Linked DNA regions of Canis lupus familiaris. Each later gene encodes a partner of the first gene's protein in a complex. Links are inferred from orthologs where the notes say so. Each region holds a gene or a part of one and is shown in the gene's direction. Other genes may lie near its edges.

Region 1 (6,148 bases):
CCACTCCAATCATCTTCTTCCTCTGCCAGACTTCTCTCCTGGATTTTTCTGGGCTCCCATACTTATCTTGTTTCAAGACAAAAATACCCTAATTTGTTCATCTCCTGTTAAGTGCTAGAACCTGTGCAGATGCATCATTAAGAAGGCTCACAGTCTAGGAGGGAAAGACTGACATGAAAGTAAACCATGAACACTGGGAAGTGAACTATTGAGGACAGAGCAGTTGAAGGACCAAAAGAGGCCCCCAGTCTGCTGGCAGGAAACTCGGAAGCAATTAGACCCCCTCCCCATGAAGTCTCCGGCCAGCCACTTAGGAGCTACACAGAGCATTAACAGAATTGCCCGAAAGGATTATGGGACAATAGTAACCTGACTGAACGGGGCTTCTCCAAAGACGGGGCACTTGAGCTGTGGATTTCCTTTGGAATATTATTAGGGTAAATGTAGGCATTTTAGGAGGTATCTGCATAAACAAAAGCATGAAAAAAAAATATGGAGCACGCTCAGTAGTTTTGACCCGAATGAAAGATGCAGAAAAGTAGGCTGCAAATGCTGACAGGGGCTCTATGATACAGAAGCCAGTAGTAAGTGTAGTAAGTGCACCAGCTTCGAGGTTTTATCAGTCCTGGGGTTTCGGTTCTGATCCTGTCACCTTCCAGCTGTGTGAGTTGGGCACATTATTTAACCACCAACTGTTAATTTGTTTATTCCTCTAGCATTTGTGCTAGAATTAACAATTTTACAAGACAATGCTTGTAAAGCTTCGAGTGTACTACTCTTATATAAGCACTCACCATACGGTCATCAATGTTGTTATTACTCTGCCTTGTTAAGGAGCTTATTTGGTGGGTAACAGAAGGCCACAAGTGTTAGTTGTTTTTTGTTGTTTTTTTTTTAAGATTTTATTTATTTATTCATGAGAGACACACAGAGAGAAAGGCAGAGACACAGGCAGAGGGAGAAGCAGGCTCCATGCAGGGAGCCCTACGCGGGACTTGATCCCTGGACTCCAGGATCAGGCCCTGGACTGAAGGCAGCGCTAAACCGCTGAGCCACCTGGGCTGCCCAAGTGTTAAAGAGGATTCAGAACAGTCCCATAATTAGATGTAGTTCTCCCTCCTTCCTCCCAATCACCCACCTCCCTAGCCCAATTCCATACTATCTATCTCCCAATGTACCCACCTCTCCATCTCCTCCCTCCACAGGCCCAGAAGGATGCGGATGCTGTGGACAAGGTGATGAAAGAGCTAGATGAGAATGGAGATGGGGAGGTGGACTTCCAGGAGTATGTGGTGCTGGTGGCTGCCCTCACAGTGGCCTGTAACAACTTCTTCTGGGAAAACAGTTGAGCAGACACCCCCAGTGGCCAGCGTCCTTCCCCATCCCCCTGCTTCCCTCCCTACACTCCTACCCTTGCCCACCCTCCACCAAGGGCGCAAGAGTAGTGGGCCAGGCCTGCAACTCATCTTTCATTAAAGGCTCTTCTCTGGCCAGCTGCTGTCTGTCTCCTTTGGGGTCTGGAAGTGAGTGGGAAAGTCAAGGTTCCTCACTCCCAAGTCACCTTATTTGGTAAAGGATCTTATTGTGAGAGAGGTCAAGGGGACATTACATCTTCCTGGCTGAGGAATGCTCAAGGCCCAGGAAGGTAGGCATTCGAAGTTCCAGCTGCAAATGTAGGAGACTTCAGCTTCTCAGCTACAAAGCCAGAATTCCCCTTCAGTCTGCAGAGAATATTTACTGAGGACCTACCGTGCGCTAGACGTTGTGAAGGAGCGGTGAAGTTCAGTAAGGATGGCAGACCATCACACACGTGCAGGTGCTGGGAGGGAAACAAAAGACCCTGATGCACTTGCGCGCAGAAGAGTCAAAGAAGCGCCTGTGCCTCATTTGCCCAACCCCGGCGTGTTCCTACTGTGCACCCAGGCCCAGGGAAAGTCCCGAGTCGGTGTGCATGGAGGTGCACAGACTGGCGGATGGGGAGGGCATCATCAGGGGAACACGGACACAACGCCCACAGGGGTTTAACAATATTCAAGACGAGGAACAGAAACAGAAGCCCGGGCGTCCCTGGCTCTCCCGGGCTCGGGGCTCGGAGACAGCAGCAGGTGCTGCTCGGCCAGGGGCAGGGGGCACACCCCGCGCGCAGAGCTGCGGACGGCCGCCCTGAGCCAGGCCGAGGCGCCGCGAAGACAGAGCAACGGCTGTCTCCCCCGCCCCCGCGCGGGTCTCCGCGAGCCGGGCCGGCGCGCGCTAACCACGCCCCTCAGTGGGCGGGGCGAGTAGTGGCCCGGACCCCGCCTACTCTCCAGGGCTCCGCCCCAAGCCTCGCGCAGGCGTAGCGTTCAACGTCTCGCCCCCTAGCTGTGCGCGGATCTGACGTCTGACGCAATTGCGTCGACGCCATTTTAGCCGGTCCCAGTCGGCTCTGGGCGTGGCGGCCATTTTGTTTTGGACACCGAGCGGGAGGCGGCGGCGGCGGCTGTGGTGGCACCGACACAAGGCAGGAAAGGGCAGGCCGGGCAAGCAGGCGGACCCGGCCGACCAGGCAGCCGGCCGGCAACAACGAGCTAACCTAGCAACCTACCGCTTACATCTCTAACCAACCGCCCACCAAGTCAAGTCAGGTTCCGCCGGGCCCCGGCCCGCGCGCCGCAGCCGTGGTGGCAGCCCCGGGAGGCGCACTGGCGTCCGTTTCCTTCGGTGCGTTTCCGTAGCGTGGGGGGAGTGGCGGGGCGGCGGGCCCCGGGGGGGCGGAGCCGGCGGTGGGGGGGCGGCGTCGGGGAGGGGAGCGGGCGGCGGAAACCAACGTCCGGATGGGGAGCGTTGAGGGGGGCGCCCCGTGGGTCCTCCTTCCGCCGGGGCCAGTGAGGGCCTTCGGACCCTCGTGTGTGTGCGGAGGCTCCTCGCGGCCCCGGCTGACGAGGGCCGGTCCGGGTTAAGACCAGTCCGCTCTGTCGCGTTGGGGGTCGGGCGGTGGCCTCCAGGCCCGGATTGGCCGTAAGTGTGTGGGGACTGGAGCCCCCGGAGCGGTGTTCAGGGCGAGCGTCGGTCCTCGAGACAGGTCGTCCGTTGTCCTGCCTGTCGGGCCCTCGCTGCCCTTGAGACGAGGGGGTCCTTGGTCTGACTCGGTTTATCCTCTTACTGTCCTTTGTAGATTCTCGGGATTTGAAGATGGCTGCACAGTCAGCGCCGAAAGTTGTGCTAAAAAGCACCACCAAGATGTCTCTAAATGAGCGGTGAGGCAGCCAACAGCAACTTCAGCTCGTTCATAAGAAAACATTACTTAACTTGGCCCTGGGGTCCGATGCACAAAAACCAGTTGTAAATACCAACAGAAGGCTACAGACCTCTGTTTTTAGTTGCATCTGATGTGGTACACGAAACAAATTGGGCGGTTGTTTCAAAACCCCTTATCAGTAGATTTTTATGTTAAGCTGTCTGAAATATTTAGCTGGTGGGATGTATTTTAAAAAGACTCCTCACACCCTCCCTCTTCTTCACATTTTTTTACATTGATACAGGGGTGGTGCAGCTCGGTAGCATGGTACCTCGGCTGCAGGAGGCTTGCTGCTCAGTCCAAGGCCAGCAGTGTTGTGTCTGGCCTGTAAGAGGCAGGCAGCAAGCTGTGGATATGTCCAAAGGCCCTTGAATGCCATTCTTGGGCCTTGTAAGAGGCACTTGCTTTGCTCCATTTCTCTTTCTTTGAATTCTGCTTTTAGTTTGTTTTTGTGTTAGATTCTTTTACAGTTAAGTGTTCTTTTTTGTACAATTAAACATACTTTGACAGGAGTAACAGAGGAGTGTCTTCACAAGCTTTTAAGTGATTAAAGTAATCTGATTTTCTCAGAAATAATCACATGCAGTCAGGAAAAGTAATCATCAGACTAAAAAAAGTTAGGGTGCCAAAAGCTCTTTATTGAGCGCCTTTGACCAGTGATTTTATTTAGTTGATGTTAGACCACAAAAGATCCAGAAGATTGACTTGATGTTTGCTTTTGCCTTTTCTGAAGCATATGTACTGCTTCTTATCTCTTACACTATGATATACTGATTTTTCATGCTTCTATGTACCTGAACGAACAAATAGATGAAGAAAGTGAGATCTACTCTGATGACTTACATGGGTGTACTACTACCATGGGCTGTGAAGGTGCTCTGGTCCTTCCCTACATTCGCCCTTACAGCCACCCTCCAATTCCCCCAAGAGTTTGGCTTTCTTTGTTTGTCTTTGAAACTACGTTTTCTGTCTTTTGTTGTCCTCATATCTGCTTATTGCGTGTTTTTCATACCTCCCACCTCTCTAAAAGCCGTTACCCTGAGCCCTTGTTATCACTTTTGATTGAATGTGCTGCTGCACTTAGCTGCGTTTCTGAGTTTCTGATTCTTGCAAGTTTGTGGAAGCCGAGGAGTCTTTAACCCACATCAGCCTTGATCTAAGTGTACCACATTTACTTAAAGTTCGTGGGATCTGGAGCTCCTGGTCTAGCAAGCCATGAAAATGCCAATAAATGTTTTGTAATAAAGCTTTTATTTAAACATCCATTCTGTTCGACCTTGAAGCTTTACTAATATGCTGAAGAACAAACAGCCGATGCCAGTGAATATTCGGGCTTCGATGCAGCAACAACAGCAGCTAGCCAGTGCCAGAAACAGAAGACTGGCCCAGCAGATGGAGAATAGACCCTCTGTCCAGGCAGCATTAAAACTTAAGCAGGTGAGAAGATGAGTCTTAATGCTCCAGAAGCAGCTGGTGATCTCTGTCAGGCAGTCCAACTGAGGCTGTCAGGACGTGATGGATGATTGTAAGGTGGCTCAGGGCAAAAGCAGAAACTTCTCTGGAGGAAAGAGAAGTTCAGAGAATTCCCATTTTGGCAGGTACCAATAAGTAACTTTCATTGTCTTTCTCTTTTAGGTAGTTTGCCATCAGTGGCCTGTTTCTGTGTTATCAATGAGTATTAATCTCTTTCTTTCTGATCCTTTGCCCTTAAAGTAAATTGACTGGATTTTCCCACAAAGAAATGTTGGTGTCTGTTTTAGATGACTTTCAAAAAATGCTTTATTCCCTATTGAGTGACTTACACATGAGGGAAATCATTTTCTTGTTTCTTCCTTGAGCATAGGAAGTCTGAACAGCCTTAGTCAAGGATTTTCAGTGCTAAAATAGAGAAAGAGTAAGGTGACCCTCATCTCCACAGCACCTAAAGTTTTGTCAGTAAAATAGAATGAGAGCACTGAATAATTAAGAATTAGTAGGTTATTTTTCAAACTTCCAGTAGGAGATAATCCTATTCAGACTTGAAATAAAACCTGCTCTTTATTATTCATAGACTTTATATGCAAGTCCGGACAGTGGCTGTGGAAGGATATGTCCAAGCTGTGGCTGGGCGTCTGGAGGGCGATGCCATGCAACTGTAAGGACTTTAACTGGTAGCACTGCATGGCTGTGCATAAATTCAGCGGTTAAATATAACACCATCCCACCCCCACCCTGAACTGTTGGGCTCACTGACCAAAAATAAACAGGGCCTTCTGCTTCAGCTACCTTAAGCCTTGGAGTTCCTGTATTTGTCCCTGACCCAGGAAAGCGGTAAAAAGGGCCCCACCATTTTCCAAGAGAGGCAGTTCTAAATTGCTAAAGATAAATCTATGGCAGATCATTCCAAGGGACCTTTCTAGAAGAAGCTTTAAATACAGGCTGGGCAGAAAGTAGCCTCTGGAGCAGAGGTGTCTGATAGAACTTTGCGCGGTGAAGGGAATATTCTTATCTGCTCTCCAAATTTGGTAGCTACCAGCCAGCCATGTGTGACACTCAAAATGTGGCTAGTGTAACTGAGGAGGTTTTTATTTTATTTTATTTTTTTATTTTATTTTTTAATTTTTTTAAAAATTTTTATTTATTTATGATAGTTACAGAGAGAAAGAGAGGCAGAGACACAGGCAGAGGGAGAAGCAGGCTCCATGCGCCGGGAGCCCGATGTGGGATTCGATCCCGGGTCTCCAGGATCGCGCCCTGGGTCAAAGGCAGGCGCCAAACCGCTGCACCACCCAGGGATCTCGATTTTTAAATTTTATTTACTTGAAGTTTAAATAGCCACATATAATCTTAGCATTACAGCCTAGCTCTAGAGTAAAAGCTAGATGGTATAGG
Region 2 (5,641 bases), on another chromosome or scaffold:
AGTTTGGTATTTGCCAGTGGTTGGTGGGGGCAGCCAGTGTGTTTGGGGTGAGGTATGTTGGGTCATGCAGAGCATTCAGAGACCAGTAGCCAGCCACCTGGGAGTATTATCTCAGTGGTAGAGGAAGTTTGCCACCCCTCCTTAGTGCAGTTGATCAAACCATTTCTGGCTCCTGTGACTACCTGTAATCTGTATATACCCTTTTGAATGGAGCAGGAGGAGTGGTGGTTTGTCTTGACCTTCCAACACTAGACGTATGGAGTTCTATAAAGGCAGGACAGGTGTGACCTAGGGAAGTCAGTCCTGGTGCATGAAACAGCCCACTTACATTTGTGCTTGAGACACTGGGCTCAAGTTGAGTAGACTTGGTCTTGAATCCTAGCCTAGCTATACTTCTGGCTATTGTATCTAACTTCTCTGAGCCTTAATTTTCTCAGTTCGTGGCTATAATAATGGTATGGCTCTCATAGGGTTGTTGTGAAAGTTAAACATGAATTTGAAAGAAACAATTTTTTATAATTTTAAGCATCAGCTCATTTGGTCTTCACCACCCACTGGGCAGCTACCATTTGTCAAGGCAGAATTACACAGATGCAGAAAGTGGGGCTCAGAGCAGTGACATAAATTTCCAGATGTTTAGGAATTGATGGGGCAGGAACTCAGATCTGGGACTAGACTACAGAGTCCAAGTTCTGTCCAGTGCCCTGCCTCCCCAGTTAAATGTGACCATGCTGGCCAGATGCTAGGTGTAGTACAGAACAGAGAATAAGCCCTTAGAGCCACTGTTTCCAGGATAATTATGGGCTTCTGGATCAGAACCTTTAAGACAGTTGGCAGAAGGTATTTTGTGGCTTTAGGCCCTAGATTGGGATTGGGCATTTGTGTAAGCCTAAAAGAGAGGCGTTCACTGTAGTCTCGGGTGGCGCTTGTCCCAAAAATCTGCACTTGGGTTTTTTTTTCTCAGTAAACAATGGAAAAAAGACTTAAGTTTGCTACCTTGTTCCTCTTCATCTAAAGAAAGGGCTTTTGCCCTCCTAACTCCCAGTCAGTAAGTTCCTGTGACAAAGGCAGAAGAAATGTAGTCCTAGAGATAGCCTGTTTATGTAGCTTAGCTCCTTCTCTCAGCAGCTGTCATATGAAGCTTTTTCTTGCTCACAGATAAGACGTTGTCTGTGGCAATTGAAGGCAGTGTGGATGAAGCCAAGGCTTTATTTAAGCCTCCTGAAGACTCCCAAGGTAATTTAGTTGGTATCCTCTCCCAAGTCTTCCATAGCTGATTCTAGGAGCACTGGGTCATCACCCAAGGGCATAGTGCTAGTCCTTTGGAAATTAGCTGTACTGGTTCTGAGTATGAGAGAGCTTGACTTTAATGACTTAATGCTCAAGGGTAGACAGAGAGAAACCCTGCTTGTGGATTTCATCCCTGTCACTCACTAGCTCACTGGTCCTGGGAAAGCTCCTTGACATTTCTGAGACTCAGTTTACTCACCTGTCAAAACAAGATAGTAATACCTCATATAGACTATCGTGGATTAAGTTTGGTCATGTGTGCAAAGTCTTTAGCATCATTCTGGGCTCATAGCAACTCCTCAAATTGCATGAGCTGCTACTGTTGTTATTATTTATATAACTGTTGCTGCAGCCACCACCATTACCAGTGGAGGGGCTTGTGGTCCATAGGATGACATTAAAAAGTATTTTCAGAAATGAGGGGTTGGGGTGGAATTATCAGGCATTTCTCTGTTTTTTCCTTGCATCACCGTGTCTTCCATACTGAATAAGCAGCAGCAAATTCATTTATTATGTATTCTAAAGAAACCCATTTACAAATGACACAGAGTCTTGGCCCCTTTATGCTTCGTGGGTTGAGGCACTTTAGGGAGCATTGGGACCCCCCTCCCCATCTCTAGATGCTTTTTTGTGGTTGCAGATGATGAGAGCGACTCGGATGCTGAGGAGGAGCAGACTACGGTGAGAGCCGTGTCCCCCACGAGTATGCTAAGCAACTGCCTGCTAGTTGGCAGGTGCCATTCTCCCCAGAAGCAGAAGAGAAAGGTTGGAAAGAAAGGGCTGCTGGGGGCCTGGCAGCCAGATACCTGAAGCAGCAGGTCCCAGGCAGCAGTACCGTGGCCCTGACCTGTAGGGAGAAGGAAGGGGAGATTCATGTGACCGGTGCTTATCTGCTTTGATCTTTCCTTTGTCCAGAAACGCCGGCGACCCACACTGGGAGTTCAGTTGGATGACAAACGCAAGGAGATGCTGAAGAGGCACCCGCTATCAGTCATGCTGGACCTGAAATGCAAAGGTCTGGTTTTCCTTGTTCTGGGGGACCCCATAGCATCTAAAAGTTTGGCTAGCTGCAGGTGTACAAAGTCCAGCAAACCAAAGTCCTCTTTGACCAAGAAAAGATTCTAGTTTCATATTTCTGTTTTTCCTCATTGTTTTGCTTAGAGTTTGTTTCATTTTTTTGAAGTCGTAACCATAACAACAAAACCAGGCACATAATGAATGATTGGTAGAATTACACCAATTTCTGAATTTGTTAAGTCAGATACACAGAACAAGTTGCAAGAGTATGCAGGTTTTAGTTTAGTTTTGTTTTTTTTTTTTTTTTTTTAAGATTTTATTTATTTATTTGAGAGAACGATAGCACAGGCCAGGGGGAGGGTCAGAGGGAACAGGAGAAGCAGGCTCCCCGCTGAGCAGGGAACCCAGTGTGGAGCTTGATCCCAGGACACTGAGATCATGACCTGAGCCAAAGGCAGATACTTAACTGACTAAGCCATTCAGGCACCTTGAGTATGTATATTTTTGAGTAATATGACCATTGTGCTTAATATAACAGACATAAGTAGAGGTTTGTATTCTGTAGAGAATATATGTTTTTTTTTTTTTTTTTTTTTTTGATAGAGAATATATGTTTTGAAACTAGTTTTGTATGGATAAAAAAGCAAATGATAAAGCATTCTAGGAGTATAAGAGTTAACAGTTACATGCTAGTTTTTCTCTCACCTGAGACTCTCAGACTCTGATCCTTGGTCTTACCTCCAAGGACAACCATTATGACACATTTCTTATGTATTTTCTAGAACTCTTCTATGCATTGAGAAGCTTTTATACAAGTGTGTATTCTCTTTTCCTTTTAGTTTTTATACAAATGGAAACATACTGTACACACTGGTCCTCTCTATACTTTTTTTAAAAACTTATTATTTTTAGGTAATTTTAGACTCCATAATAGAGTTCTCATGCTCTTCACCCAGCTTCTCCTGATTGTCAGCATTTTACCTAACCACAGTACAATGATCCACAGTACAATGACTGAGATTATGGATTTTGGGGAGGAATACCATAGATGTGTCATCATCACATCACATCAAATCAGGGGTAAATGGTGTCACTGTGTCTTATTACTGGTTACGCAGACCTGGATCCACTTGGTGATCACTTGAGATTACTTGAGCAAAGGCCTCTGGGCTGGGAGTCTGGAGCTTGTTAGAAGGAGCTAAGTCCAGCCCACACTCAAGAGGAAGGAAATAAAGTTCCCCCTGTTGGAGAGAGGAGTTACTAAGAATTTGTAGACATTCTTCTTTTTTTAAATCAATATAAAATTGACGTTGAGTTTTGTTTTTATAGTAAAAGTTTTTAAAGGCCTTGCTGACTTTTCTGTTCCATTACACCATAAACTGTTCTCATGTTCACCTTGTACTTGCTTTTCTTTTCCTCCTCCCCCTCCAGATGACAGTGTACTTCACTTGACTTTCTACTACCTCATGAACCTCAACATCATGACAGTAAAAGCCAAAGTGACGACCGCCACGGAGCTGATCACCCCCATCAGTGCAGGGTATTGGGCAAGCGCTATGAAAAGTGGGGGTGGCTGTGAGAAGAGCCTCAGTGTGGGCTGCTCCTGGTTCCTCACGCTCTGAGGAGGTGCATGACTATGTTGATTTCTGTTGTCACATCCACATGGCCTAGAAGTCTTGGCGCATAACTGATATTTAGGAAGCACTTACTGACTTTAGTTGGTCCTTTTACTACATAGTAGATGATAAAATGACTACAGTGTATGGCAAATTGAGTAGGCAGGGCAGAGCACTGTTTTTATAAACAGTGGAAAGGCATGAATGGAGTTTGGCAGACATTATTAGGTTGACAAATTTAAATTTAGGCCATCCTCTTCCTTTACCTTTTCTCTCCCAAGGTGCTGGGATTTTTGTTCCACAGCTCAACTGGTACCAGGTTGTCCTTACCTGGTGGTGAGAAGAGGTTTTGAGGAAAGTGAGCAGAGGCATAGTAATCATTGCCACAGGTCGAGTATCCCCAGGAAGCCCCTGACTGTGGTGGTCTTGTTCCACAGCTAGGAATAGGAAGAAGGCAAGCGGACCCAAGAGAGCCTGGATGTTAAATAGCCTCACTTACAAGAGCACTAGCCTGGCCTAGCAGTCCTGCACACTGAGTCCTCGAGTTGGCTGTCCAAAGACCACTGAGTGTGGCAGGAGTCTAGCTCCTGCTGGGTTGTGGCTCTTCCTGTGGCGGCTACCTGATGGTGTGGTGTCCTTGGGTTTTCTACCCTGTACTTAGCGTTCACATCCCCTTCAGGCTGCAGTCTCAGTCCCTGTGTTTGAGAGTGGTGTTTGGTCACCTTTGGGTACTCGGGATGAATTGACCCTGTTCTCACCTGGCCCCAGCAGAGGGAGCCCAGGGCTGGCTTCTTCGGGCTACACTGCCCAGCCAGAGCTCTCTATCTAGGAGCTTGAGGCAGTGGTGGAGCTTCTACATTGTGCAATGATGGGAGCAGTGCTGCTGACTGCTTACCAGCTGGACTCAGAACCCCTGTGTGTCCCCAGTCTGCCACTTACAGCTGTGGGTGCACCTACTGAGTTTCCTGTCCACTGAGTCTGCTTTCTCGCTCTGGTCATTAATTGTGATATCCCCTTTGAGGGTGTTCATGAAGGATCGGGTTCAGTGCTTAGTGTAGGTGAAGCACTTGGTAAATAACAGTTGTGTTTATCATCATGAATTTGCTTAACTCTTCACAACAATTTTATAAGGGGAGGAAACTGAGGCCTGTGTACCTCTGTACTGTATGCCTGTCATTGAGAGGTGGGCTGTGGCCCCAGAAGAGAACCAGGATTATAGCAATTGCATCTTTATGGGCCTTCAGGTATGTCTAGTTCATCCCCCTCTTTTCCAGATGGAGAAACTGAAGTTCAAAGGGTATATGATCAATTATGGAAGCCCCTAGCCTAGGGCTCCAGACTCCCAGCCCAGAGGCCTTTGCTCAAGTACCTCTGCTTTGGCCCCTGGAGATACCAGCCTGGTATATGGTTCTATTTGTTTATCCACTAAACATAAGGATACTTTTTTCTCCCTAGTATAATCACAGTCTCACACTAATTCTTTAATATCATCCAATATCCAGTCAGAGTTCTGATTTCCCTGATTTTCTCACAACTGTTTGTTTTTACGTTGGGTTTTGTTTTTTTTTGTTTTTTTTTTCTTTTTTTGTTTTTTTTTCTTTTTTTTAATTTTTATTTATTTACTTATGATAGAGAGAGAGAGAGAGAGAGAGGCAGAGACACAGGCAGAGGGAGAAGCAGGCTCCATGCATCGGGAGCCTGATATGGGATTCGATCCC
Region 3 (5,641 bases), on another chromosome or scaffold:
GTTTTTGTTAGGCTTTTTAAGCAACCTTGGTGATCAAGGGGAAGGGTGTTTTGTCCTTTCTTTCTGTGATGGAGAGTTCTTTTTTCTTTGAGGGGATTAACTTTGCTGATTTTTTAGACATCAGTCACACCACTGTTCTTTGCCTTTATAGATTCTTATGCTGGGTAGATAAACTGGGGAGATAAACTGAAGGAGGAAGACCATTTACTTTCTGGCATCCCCTGCACATATATCAGAATTTGTAACTGAATAGACTTAAGTGCTAGGATTAATGTGGAGAGTTTATGGGATTTTCTGTAATTCAGTGTTCCACAAGAAAGGAAAATTGTAACTCACATTTAATAAATGAGTGGAAAATTGGAACTCACATTTAATAAATGAGGGAGTGGGGATGGACTTAGCCCCAGGGATAAGTAGTTCCAAGTGACCTTCGGTTATTTTAGATGGTGAACTATAAGATGGGCTCTGGGTAGAGGTCTTATTTGCCTGGCTGGATAGGACAGTGATCCAGAGGAAGCATGGACTAGACTTTGACAACTAGAATATAATTATGTGTGCAGTATTTGTAGACAGTTGGGGTGTGGGGAGAAAGTAGGGAGAAGGGCCTTGTAAAGCATCTCTCAAGGGTCTTAGGTTTGTGAGCCTCTGCAGTAGACTTCATCTCCATATCATACTTGTGAGATTTGGAGTTTCATTATCTTCTTGCCTGGCTAAAACACATAGTGCTGAAATTTGGTTCTAGGTCTTTATTTGAAATTTTCCATGTGTTACTGCAATGGATGTGATTTTACGGTGGTTCGTGTAAATAGAGTACCTGAGACAAATCTTTGTGGGAAATGGCTCTTGCTTACCTGTTTCCAGCAGTTTCACCTCACTGGGGAGGCTGTCTCCGGTCTTTGTCTATGACATTTCCTTCTTTCCTTCTAGGATTTTTTTCCTTTTTCTTGTAGACATGCGTCGGGATGTCCAGGAAATTTTTCGCATGACCCCCCATGAGAAGCAGGTCATGATGTTCAGTGCTACCTTGAGCAAAGAGATCCGTCCTGTCTGCCGCAAGTTCATGCAAGACGTAAATACCCTTCTACCTTCTCTCCCTCCACTCCCCGCCCACTGCCTCCTCCCCTTCTGCGCCCTCTTCCTCCAGACTCCCTTGTCCTTCAAATGCCAAGAAGGGGGCACGTGCCCATCTGGGAGTGATGACTCCTTGAAGAGACACACAGAGGCAGAGACAGCTAGTGTTAGGGTCTGCGCGGGTGCCAGGGAAACTCCGGAAGACTTGGTCGGGTTAACTTGAGAGCGGGTAGTGTTCGACCTTTTTTTTTTTTTTTTTTTCATCACAGCATTTTTGAACCTCTTCTTCCTTTTTGGGGGAGGGCAGGATTTTCTGCCCTACTACCCACCCATCGTCTCCTACATACCCCTTTACAGCCACGCACCCTCAAGGTGGCATGGAGCAGACAGTTGGAGCCTTCTGCTCCCCAAAACTCAACCCCCCGGTGGCAGGAGAGCAAGAGAGGGACAGACAGATGGCAGGGCATGTCCAAAAGAAGAGCAAACAGCACAAATGAATCCGCTCCCTCCCCACCTCCAGGGGTGGGGGCCTTTGGCACCTCAGTCCCCGATCCCTTACTCCTTCCGTCCATACCTCCTCGCACCCATCCGGAATCTCGGCTGATGTGAGCCGGCAGCGGAGAAGCACCATGGAACGGCGGGGGAAATGCAGACGGCACCCAGCGGTGGATGGCGGCAGCGGAGGCCGCGGGGAAACCTGACCAGGAAGCTGAGGACCAAACCAGCCTCTTTTTCTGTTCCCGGTTTTTTTCCTGAATCCAAGGCGTGCCGTGCTCCCTGTTTTTCCCCATATGTGTTGGGGGGAGGGGTGTCCTGAAACGGGGGGTAGTTTTTTTTCTTTTTTAAAACAATTTTTTAATACTCCAAGGAGAGGGATATGGGAAAAGTAATGTGAGGAGCTCCACTTGGATGTAACCAGGTGGGTGTTAGGGTTTGGCACTAGACGGGCCCTATTGTATAAACAGTGCAGTGTATTCTTTCTTATCCTGTACTGCTCCTTCCCGTGGGATGTCAGTTACCTTTAGTTATACTTGGGGCTAGATTTGAAGGAGGCCATGAAGCTTCATTTTGAAAAGCCTGCTTTTGCAAGCCTGCTTTCTGGGATTGGGCTTCTGGTTCTCTCCCGTGCCACTCATCCTTTCCTGAAACCTTGGGCCCTGGGTGTTCATGTTAATTATGTCCCCAGGTTAGTGAAGAGTGCTAGGAAACTTGGACTCAGGAGTTGAGTCTTGTGTCAGTTTGTTTTTTTTTTGCTATCTTCCTCCCCTTAAAGGGTTTTATGTGTGCGTGCGTGTGTGTATGTGTGTGTATATACATATATACATATATATGTGTGTGTATATATATATATATATACATATATATATTACAAGATGGTTGTATATCTGCTGCTCTGAATTTGTTTCTTAACACCATTTATTGGTACTGTCCATGTAACACTAGTTGATTTGACTCCTAGTTCAGAGACCAGTGCCATCTGAACTATTCCCTTGTGGTCTGAGGGCGAGTTATTACTCATCCTGAGTAACTTTTCATGGTATTTTTGACTATGTTCATTTTAGCATTCTGATCTTGACAGATAATCCACCCTCCTGATGTGGATCTGATTCTCTTAGTTGTTTGGTTTTTTCCTTAATATTTTATGTATTGATTTGAGAGAGAGCAAGCACAAGCAGGTGGAGGAGCAGAGGGAGAGGGAGAAGCAGATCCCCACTGAGGAGGGAGCCTGACTCGGAGCTTGATCCTAGGACCCTGAGATTATGACCTGAGCCGAAGGCAGACGCCTAACCGATTGAGCCACCCAGGTGCCCCCTGATTCTCTTAGTTGGGAGAATACTCAAATGAAGCAATCCCTGTCTTCCCCTCTATTTTTACAACCAATAGTGGTGGAATTCCTGACCTCGAGTCACCATGTCCACCAATTCCCAGGTGTTTGGATTACATTTTCCCTTTGGGGATCCTCTCCCATTGTTTTCTTTCCTCTGCTACCTCCTTTTGAGGTCATGGCATCTTGCCATTGGGTGGTCTCACTGCTCCTTTTCAAACTCCTTGCCAGGTTACCTTCCCGTGATACTTGGGCAATCTTAAAACAACTGCTAGGAAGGAAATTAGAGCTAACGTGGAAGAGACCACATTAAAATGAGGATATTTTTGGGGGTGTGGTGGGGTTTTCAGTCTTCTCTTTTCCCATCCCCCAATGGGGTGTTTTGGAGATCAAGTTCCTCCACCCCCCCAGGTTTAACCCCCCCACTCTGCCCTCCTCCCGTTCCCCCCCTACTCCCCCCTCCCTCCCCCAGCCAATGGAGATCTTCGTGGATGATGAGACGAAGCTGACGCTGCATGGGTTGCAGCAGTACTACGTGAAACTGAAGGACAACGAGAAGAACCGGAAGCTCTTTGACCTTCTCGATGTCCTTGAGTTCAATCAGGTCAGTTGTTCAAAGTCCAGTAGGGGGATGAGCACGTCTCCAACTGTAGCAGAAACCTGGTTAAGTACCTTTTTGTTGAGGATATGACATAGGTGATGTGAGCGAGAACAGTGGGGAAATTACCTTCAAATGAAATTCTTTTAAATGAGAATTTAAGTGCCTTTGGTGCTGAGTGTGAACAAGATGGGAGCTGCTGTTCTGTTCTTTGGCTGTCACAGCCAGGTATTGAGTAAAGAAAAATCTCAAAATCCTTGAGAGGATTTCATAAACTTGTAAAAGTTCCAAAATATCTTGGGTTTCTTGGGTTTTTAAAATTTGTTTTTTCTTGTACTGTTTACTGAGAAGAAATGTTCCATACTTTACCTGCTGTGGTTCGTTTGCACCAAAAACTTTCTAAAATTAAGGTAAATTGCATATGTTTGATGTTTTTGATGAGCAGAAACTACTCTCCACACTTTAAATTTTTTTTTTCCACACTTTAAATTTTTACCACTTTCATTTTTACCATTAGCTTCATCCTTGTCTCCCTAACATATCTGGTAGTTTTAGTTACTTTTCTCTGTATCTTCTCTTCAGCATGTCTGCTCAGGAAAAATCAGAACTGAGTGAGAAAGGCTAAGTTGTATTTAGAACAGAAGAGGAATATGTAATGGGGATTGGAGAAGTTTCAGGAAGAGTAAAAGAGTAGTTACTGAAAACTCTTCTCACACTTAATCTCTCACTTATCCCACATGGACCCATGTCCCCCAACTGTCACACACCCAGGTGGTGATCTTTGTGAAGTCTGTGCAGCGTTGCATTGCCCTCGCCCAGCTGCTGGTAGAGCAGAACTTCCCAGCCATTGCCATCCACCGAGGGATGCCCCAGGAGGAGAGGTAAGTCAGAAATGGAAAGATGTTTTGTGTCCTTGGGAAGGAAAAGAGACCGTTGAAGCGAAGGGACTCAGTATTTTTCTAATTTCCTTTCTCACGAAGGCTTTCTCGGTATCAGCAGTTTAAAGATTTTCAACGACGAATTCTTGTGGCTACCAACCTATTTGGCCGAGGCATGGACATTGAGCGGGTGAACATTGCCTTCAACTATGACATGCCTGAGGATTCTGACACTTACCTGCATCGGGTAAGCTCCACACCCACACGTGCATTCCAGTGTCCCCTCCCCCTGATTTTGTATCTTCATACCTGATAGCCTCTCCCTTCTTTTTGGATGTCTTCCTACTTCGGGATCTCCCAGGACTATCCTCTGTCTCCTTCCAGGTGGCCCGAGCAGGCCGGTTTGGCACCAAGGGCTTGGCCATCACATTTGTATCAGATGAAAATGATGCCAAGATCCTCAATGATGTGCAGGATCGCTTTGAAGTCAATATTAGTGAGCTGCCAGATGAGATAGACATTTCCTCTTACAGTGAGTATGGATCTTAAGAAACTGGCTCAACTCTTCAGTCTCCTTGTTCCTTAGTGTGTTTGTCTTAAATCCCATCATGTACACAAAGAGCCTCTAGTGTGTAACAGGCACTTAATTATGTCCTTTGGATCTTGATGCCCCTGCTGGGATGTTTAGTTGATCTGTATGTCTCTTTTCTTAACAAGCTAGTTTATTTTTCCCTACCCCCAGTCTATCCTTTGCACCCACAAACTACAGACATCTGCATGTAGTGGGGGGTGGGGGCATGTTTTCTGCCAGCCTTGCCTTTTCCATGTCTTGTAATTGTGCCATGTTTTCTCTCCAGTTGAACAGACGCGGTAGAGGACTTACCCACCCATTTTGGAATGTGACAGTCTGTCCCTCTTCAGGAGACGACAGTAGACATGGGGTGAAGGAGACACTACTGCCACCTACCCGTGACAACCCCCACCCCCCACCCCATGGCTTCCCCCTTTTGCATCACCACCACTCCTGAATCCCTGTTTCCTGAATTGTCGGAAATTTTTTTTTTTTTTTTAACAAAACTAAAAAACACATGCGTCTGTGGTGTCTGTAAGTGCTCCATGCCTTTATTGGGTTTGGGGTGAGATTAGGTCATGATTCAGTGTATATTCATTCTTATAAGGACTGTGTGCCCTGCTGTGGGGCTCAGGTCAGTTGGGAGGGATCAGAGGGGGGGAGGGGGATGTGACTAAGACTGCAGAAGCCATTGCTCC
Region 4 (5,641 bases), on another chromosome or scaffold:
TTATAAGTTAGTTCTCAATGTAGGCTTTAAAAGATTTTTGTTCTACTACTAAGGTAATTGTACCAAAATGAAAAGTGAAAAGAAATGAGCAGAACCCATAATATAATAACTAAAGTAATACAGTATGTAAAAACTCTATGTAACAATCTCATTTGACCAGAAAGGGGACATAGAGGTGCTGAGAAGACCACTGAATGAGCCCAAAGATCTGGGTTTAGGGACTGAGAACTGTTGGGGGCTGAGATTTTAGTGACCAACGGCAAATGGCAGGGCCATTGGTCAGCAGTGATGGATGCTACACTACTAGTTGTACCAGTTTGTCAGTTCCCAAGTGTAGATTAGCAGCCTATGTAGAAACCATGATTCCATTTCCTGTCAACTGTGAGGTTTTTGTTTGTTTGTTTGTTTGTTTGTTTGCAGGTCTTGCCTATATCTAGGCATAATTTGGGGGAAGAAAAAGGAAGGGAGGAACAATTCTGTTAGAGAGTTGAGGTTTGAATTGCCGAAATATTTACCAAAGTGTTAATTTAAACCAGGAAGGGGTAAGGAATGGAGGCTTCTGCGGAAGATTGGGGTTATAAGAAACGAGTAAAGTTGTATTGCTGGGCAGCCCTGGTGGCTCAGCAGTTTAGCACCGCCTTCAGCCTGGGGTATGATCCTGGAGACCCTAGAGATCCTGGATCCCTGCAGGGAGCCTGCCTCTCCCGCTGCCTGTGTCTCTGCCTCTCTCTGCCAAAAACCAAAAAACTTAAAAAAAAAAAAAAAAAGTTGTATTGCTCTGTAAACAACAAGCACCTTCTAAACACACACACACTAATGATATATTTAAAGTGTTAAATGACTATATATAGTGTTATATTTTAAGTGTTAAGTGCTGGGGTTACATAAGACTTATTTTCTTCTGTATTTTTCAGAATTTTCAAACTATTCTACAGTAAGCATAACACTTTTATAATAAACCAAGAAAATATCTTTTTAAAAGATTTTATTTACTTTAGAAGGAGAGAGCATGAGTGTGCAATGGGACAAGCAGAGGGAGAGGGTGGGGGAAAGACTCCTAAGCCAACCCCAGGCTTAGCAGTATGCCCTAGTGCTGAGTCCTACATAGTGCCTAATCCCACGACCCGAGATCATGACCTGAGCCCAAACCAACAGTCAGAAGAATTGGGTGCTCAACTGACTGAGCCACTCAGGTGCCCCAGCAAAACTTTTTAAAGTGTAACCTAAATCACAAGCCTTGTTCTCCAGGAAGCTGAAAGAAAATGAAAGAACAAAGTACCAATGTGGGAAAGATCCAGGTTCTTAAGAAATGGACCTTAGAGATCACTTAGAGTTTAGATTCTAGGTTAATAGTATTCAGGGTATGGTCTGCAAGCCAGTGCTGGGTCATGAATGGTTAGCGGTAAGTTAAAAAAAATACTGAGTAAGCATTTAGAAACTTTTTTTTTTTTTTTTTTTTTTTTTTTTTTTTTTTAGCATTTAGAAACTTTTATAGCAGTTTGGTGTCACTGCTACATCCAAATGTGTGATGATTTTTATAGTAATTGGTTTTTATTTTTTTATAAAAGTATTGAAAGTATTAGTCCATCTGGCTGAAATATTAAAAAGTTGGCAGCCCCATCAGTCTGCCTAATTAAAAATATATTGATCTGTGAAATTCCGAAATCTGAGAAGCAGAGATTCTAATATTGTCTAATCCTTCACCCAGTGTCTAACACTTATGAAGTGCTTACCAGCTGCCAAGCACTGTTGTAAATGCTTTACAAATATTTACTTATTTAATCATCCCAATAATCCCATGGTATAGATACTGTTGCATTTCATAGGAAACTGAGGCACAGAGAGGTTAAGTTAGTCATCCAAGGTTACACAGCTGTAAGTGGTAAAGCTGAAATTTGAACCCAGGGGACTTTAGAAGAGGACATTTTGTGCTTTTAGTGAGTGATTTATCTACCATGTTTCTCAAAAGGAGTGCTGTTGGTTTTTTTGGGTAGGAGAGTTCTCCCTCCGCAGAGTATCCCTGCTTACCTGACCTCACTGAATGCTCCACCCGCTCAGTCATTGTGTTGCGGGGGGGGAAGCTCCCCTCTCCATTTTCAAATGCTCCCTTGGTTGAAAGCCTTCCAGAGATGCCTAGCATATTCCCTTAATTGTAAAATTCTTTCTTCTGTAGGGATCTGCCTTCTGACCTCTCCTGGTTGATCTTAGATCTGTACTTCAAAGCCATTGAAGTCTTCTTTCAGTGCCAATCTATTTGTGCACTGATTTGCATATTGGATTTCTAAAACCTTTCTTTTCCTGCTTGTTCTCCTTGGATCAGCATGTCATTATGCTTCTTAAAATAAGAATCAATCATTTAGAATAGATTATTTTTCAGTTACCATAACCCAGAATTACTTTGGTAGCAAATCATACCATTAACCCTCTTTGTACTTGTAATTATCTAAAATCCTGAGGTCTTCAACCTTTGCGTTACTGTTGAGTCTGATCTTGCTCATCTGGTTTTTAAACAATTTAAGTTTTGAATCTAAATGAAATACTTTAGGGATGCCTGGGTGGCTCAGTGGTTGAGCACCTGTGTTTGGCACAGGGCGTGATCCCGGGTCCGGGGATCAAGTCCCACATCAGGGCTCCCTGTGAGGTGCCTGCTTCTCTCTCTGCTTCTGTGTGTCTCTCATGAATAAATAAAATCTTAAAAAAAAAATAAAGTAATGCTTTATAGGGATACCTGGTCCTTCCAAATTGAATCTTCTTTTTGGCTCATTGTTCTCTGAAGAGCCTCCCCTTCTTGTCCTCCCTGCCACTTAGTTCTCTCAGTAATCCATCAGGTCTTCCTTCCTCCTTCTGTTATTCACAGAGTTGATAAGCATACCTATTTCATGTTTAGTCAAGTTACTGATTTAGAACTCTTACATAGAACTTGATAGCATGCCATTGGATATTCTTTCCATTTTGACATAGATCCTTTAATCGATTCATATTGACATTAAACTAGATAACACATCTGCCTAATTCTTCAGGGTCAGACTTGTATGCATGTAAATAGTAGATTGCAGTAAGAGATAAAAGTAAGAAGAATCTGGGCAGCCCCAGTGGCTCAGCGGTTTAGCGCCGCCTGCATCCCAGGGCGTGATCCTGGAGACCCTGGATCAAGTCCCACATCAGGCTCCCTGCATGGAGCCTGCTTCTCCCTCTGCCTCTGTCTCTGCCTCTCTCTCTCTCTGTGTCTATCATGAATAAATAAATAAAATATTAAAAAAAAAAAAGTAAGAAGAATCTACTTTTAGATACTTAAGTTTTCTACTTAAAGGTTGATTTAAAAAAAATTTTTTTTCTGTATGCTAGCTGGTACAGTAATGGGGGGAGGTGCTGCCCCTCAGAAATAGCTAGGAATTTGTAATAATAAATAGTTGCATGAATAGGAATTTCATTAAAGTAAGTTTATTCTTCACCATCTTTTAGAAAAGTCCTCTTGCATATTGAATATTATTAGAGAGAAGTGGCCCATCTTTGTGGATCTGGAGATTTAGTGGGTTTAAGAGTGGTAGTTTGGGAATTGAACTTTTTTTTCTTGTGAGAACTACCTTATTTATTTAATCATCGGGTTCATTCTGTTAACTAAGGAAAAGCTTTATTCTTTTTTTCTCAGCTTGCTGAACTAAAGCAGGAATGTCTTGCTCGTGGTTTGGAGACCAAGGGAATAAAACAAGATCTCATCAACAGGCTCCAGGCATATCTTGAAGAGCATGGTGAGTGTTTTGTAGAGGCAGAGTGATATGAGAGAGGGGATTAATTTTTAGGCTCTGTCATGTGGAAGATTTCTCCTTTTCCTTTAAGCTGTTGGTGATATAAGCTCTTTTTTTAATTAAAAATTTTTTAAAGATTTTATTTATTTATTCATGAGAGACACAGAGAGAGAGGCAGAGACACAGGCAGAGGGAGAAGCAGGCTGCATGCAGGGAACCCGATGTGGGACTCGATCCTGGGACTGGGATCACATCCTGAGCTGAAGGCAGATGCTCAACCACTGAGCCACCCAGGCATCCTGATATAAGCTCTTTTTTTTTTTTTTTTTTTTTTTTTTTTTAAATTTTTATTTATTTATGATAGTCACAGAGAGAGAGAGAGAGAGAGAGAGGCAGAGACACAGGCAGAGGGAGAAGCAGGCTCCATGCACCGGGAGCCCGATGTGGGATTCGATCCCGGGTCTCCAGGATCGCGCCCTGGGCCAAAGGCAGGCACCAAACCGCTGCGCCACCCAGGGATCCCCTGATATAAGCTCTTAATTAACTGTATCAAAACTCTTGATCATCCAAAACAGTGGTTATAATGCAAAGAAATATACTCCTCCCCTTTTTTTTAAGACACTAATTTTATTTCAGTAAATTGTTTAAAAGGAAGTATGCTAAAACAGGTATCATTAGATTGAAAATTGGGAGATTTGAATTCTGCTACCTCTTATGCCAGAAAGTTACTCATAACTTTGAATAGTCACTGTTTAAGTGACTAGGTGTCTGTTCTGATCTATGCAATGAGACAAACGTTTCCATACTTGAAATTGGTAAATCTAAGGAATCTCTGGTTCCTTCTAACTCTGACATTCTATAATTCCACTTTTTAAAAAATAAACAAAACCAGCTTTATTTAAGGCATATTATCATTCCAGGTTGTACAAGTTCCTGCTAATTTTTATTTATTCCCTTTTATTGCTTTTACCCCAACTCCTGTAAGCAGCTATTCTAATGTGCTTGATATGTATTTTTTGTCTTTGTCCTTGTAAACCATGTAGTGTTGTTTGGAATACAATGTTTTTATGTAATTGGTAGTGAGGCCATAGCCTTACTTTAGTTCTCACTTTTTTTCTCTAAGTACTGTGTTTTTTTTTTTTGTTTTTTTGTTTTTTTGTTTGTTTTTTAAGATACATTCATATCTGTGTGGCTATGGCTGTGTAGTCACCTAGTCTACTGATTCAAATTCCTGGATAGTGTTCTATCATGTATGGAATCCACTACGTTTTACTTAATTCACCTAGTAACAAACACCTATATTGCCTCCTAGACTACTACTTTCATATTCTTTTATATTTCTTGGTGAGTGTCTTTCTAGGGTATACACCCAGGAGTGGGATTACCAGTTAATATCTATTCATAAGGTATTCCTGATATGATTAAGCACTGCCAAATTATTTTCCAAAATTGCTCTGTAAATCTACAGTGCCATCATCAGTGCATGAGGGTTCTTGTATCTCCTCCACACACCTAAACTTGGCACTATCCTGTTAAGTGGCTTCATTTTCATTAAACTGTTGGTTCAATTTACATTCCTCTAGTTATTAAAAAGTTTGAACATTTCTTGTGTTCATGGTTTGTAGGGTTTTTCCTTTGCCGTTTTTCTTTTGGGGTTCCCATAATTCACTTGTTAGTTTGCAGACATTTCTTTTATATTCTGGTAGCTGTTCCCTGTTGGTCTTAAACACAAATACTCTCTTTGTCATTTGTTTCTTTTCCCATGGTGTCTTAGTTTTGGAAAATCTGCAATTTTTCATATATAACTTTTATTTTTTTATTTTTGGTTTTTTTTTTTTTTAAATTTTTATTTATTTATGATAGTCACAGAGAGAGAGAGAGAGAGGCAGAGACAT

The links.
Region 2: CHTOP (region 1) and THOC5 share a complex: the UniProt entries of both Homo sapiens proteins name them as parts of the transcription/export (TREX) complex. The link is inferred for Canis lupus familiaris from reciprocal best matches to the Homo sapiens genes CHTOP and THOC5.
Region 3: CHTOP (region 1) and DDX39B share a complex: the UniProt entries of both Homo sapiens proteins name them as parts of the transcription/export (TREX) complex. The link is inferred for Canis lupus familiaris from reciprocal best matches to the Homo sapiens genes CHTOP and DDX39B.
Region 4: CHTOP (region 1) and SARNP share a complex: the UniProt entries of both Homo sapiens proteins name them as parts of the transcription/export (TREX) complex. The link is inferred for Canis lupus familiaris from reciprocal best matches to the Homo sapiens genes CHTOP and SARNP.

What each region holds. Positions count from the first base shown.
Region 1 is NC_049228.1:43,413,307-43,419,454, reverse strand, and holds the start of CHTOP (chromatin target of PRMT1 protein), read left to right. Parts: upstream 1-2,299; 5' UTR 2,300-2,700; intron 2,701-2,826; exon of another isoform or gene 2,827-2,997; intron 2,998-3,154; 5' UTR 3,155-3,171; coding exon 3,172-3,236; intron 3,237-4,560; coding exon 4,561-4,714; intron 4,715-5,327; coding exon 5,328-5,411; intron 5,412-6,148. Other genes in the region: S100A13 (protein S100-A13), read right to left, coding at 1,183-1,190; S100A1 (protein S100-A1), read left to right, coding at 1,206-1,349. UniProt on the Homo sapiens protein: Plays an important role in the ligand-dependent activation of estrogen receptor target genes. May play a role in the silencing of fetal globin genes.
Region 2 is NC_049247.1:23,170,332-23,175,972, reverse strand, and holds part of THOC5 (THO complex subunit 5 homolog), read left to right. Parts: intron 1-1,158; coding exon 1,159-1,236; intron 1,237-1,930; coding exon 1,931-1,971; intron 1,972-2,205; coding exon 2,206-2,305; intron 2,306-3,738; coding exon 3,739-3,847; intron 3,848-5,641. UniProt on the Homo sapiens protein: Component of the THO subcomplex of the TREX complex which is thought to couple mRNA transcription, processing and nuclear export, and which specifically associates with spliced mRNA and not with unspliced pre-mRNA.
Region 3 is NC_049233.1:1,170,809-1,176,449, reverse strand, and holds the end of DDX39B (spliceosome RNA helicase DDX39B), read left to right. Parts: intron 1-950; coding exon 951-1,069; intron 1,070-3,368; coding exon 3,369-3,500; intron 3,501-4,265; coding exon 4,266-4,375; intron 4,376-4,474; coding exon 4,475-4,619; intron 4,620-4,756; coding exon 4,757-4,904; intron 4,905-5,229; coding exon 5,230-5,246; downstream 5,247-5,641. UniProt on the Homo sapiens protein: Involved in nuclear export of spliced and unspliced mRNA. Component of the TREX complex which is thought to couple mRNA transcription, processing and nuclear export, and specifically associates with spliced mRNA and not with unspliced pre-mRNA.
Region 4 is NC_049231.1:541,045-546,685, reverse strand, and holds part of SARNP (SAP domain-containing ribonucleoprotein), read left to right. Parts: intron 1-3,649; coding exon 3,650-3,749; intron 3,750-5,641. UniProt on the Homo sapiens protein: Binds both single-stranded and double-stranded DNA with higher affinity for the single-stranded form. Specifically binds to scaffold/matrix attachment region DNA. Also binds single-stranded RNA. Enhances RNA unwinding activity of DDX39A.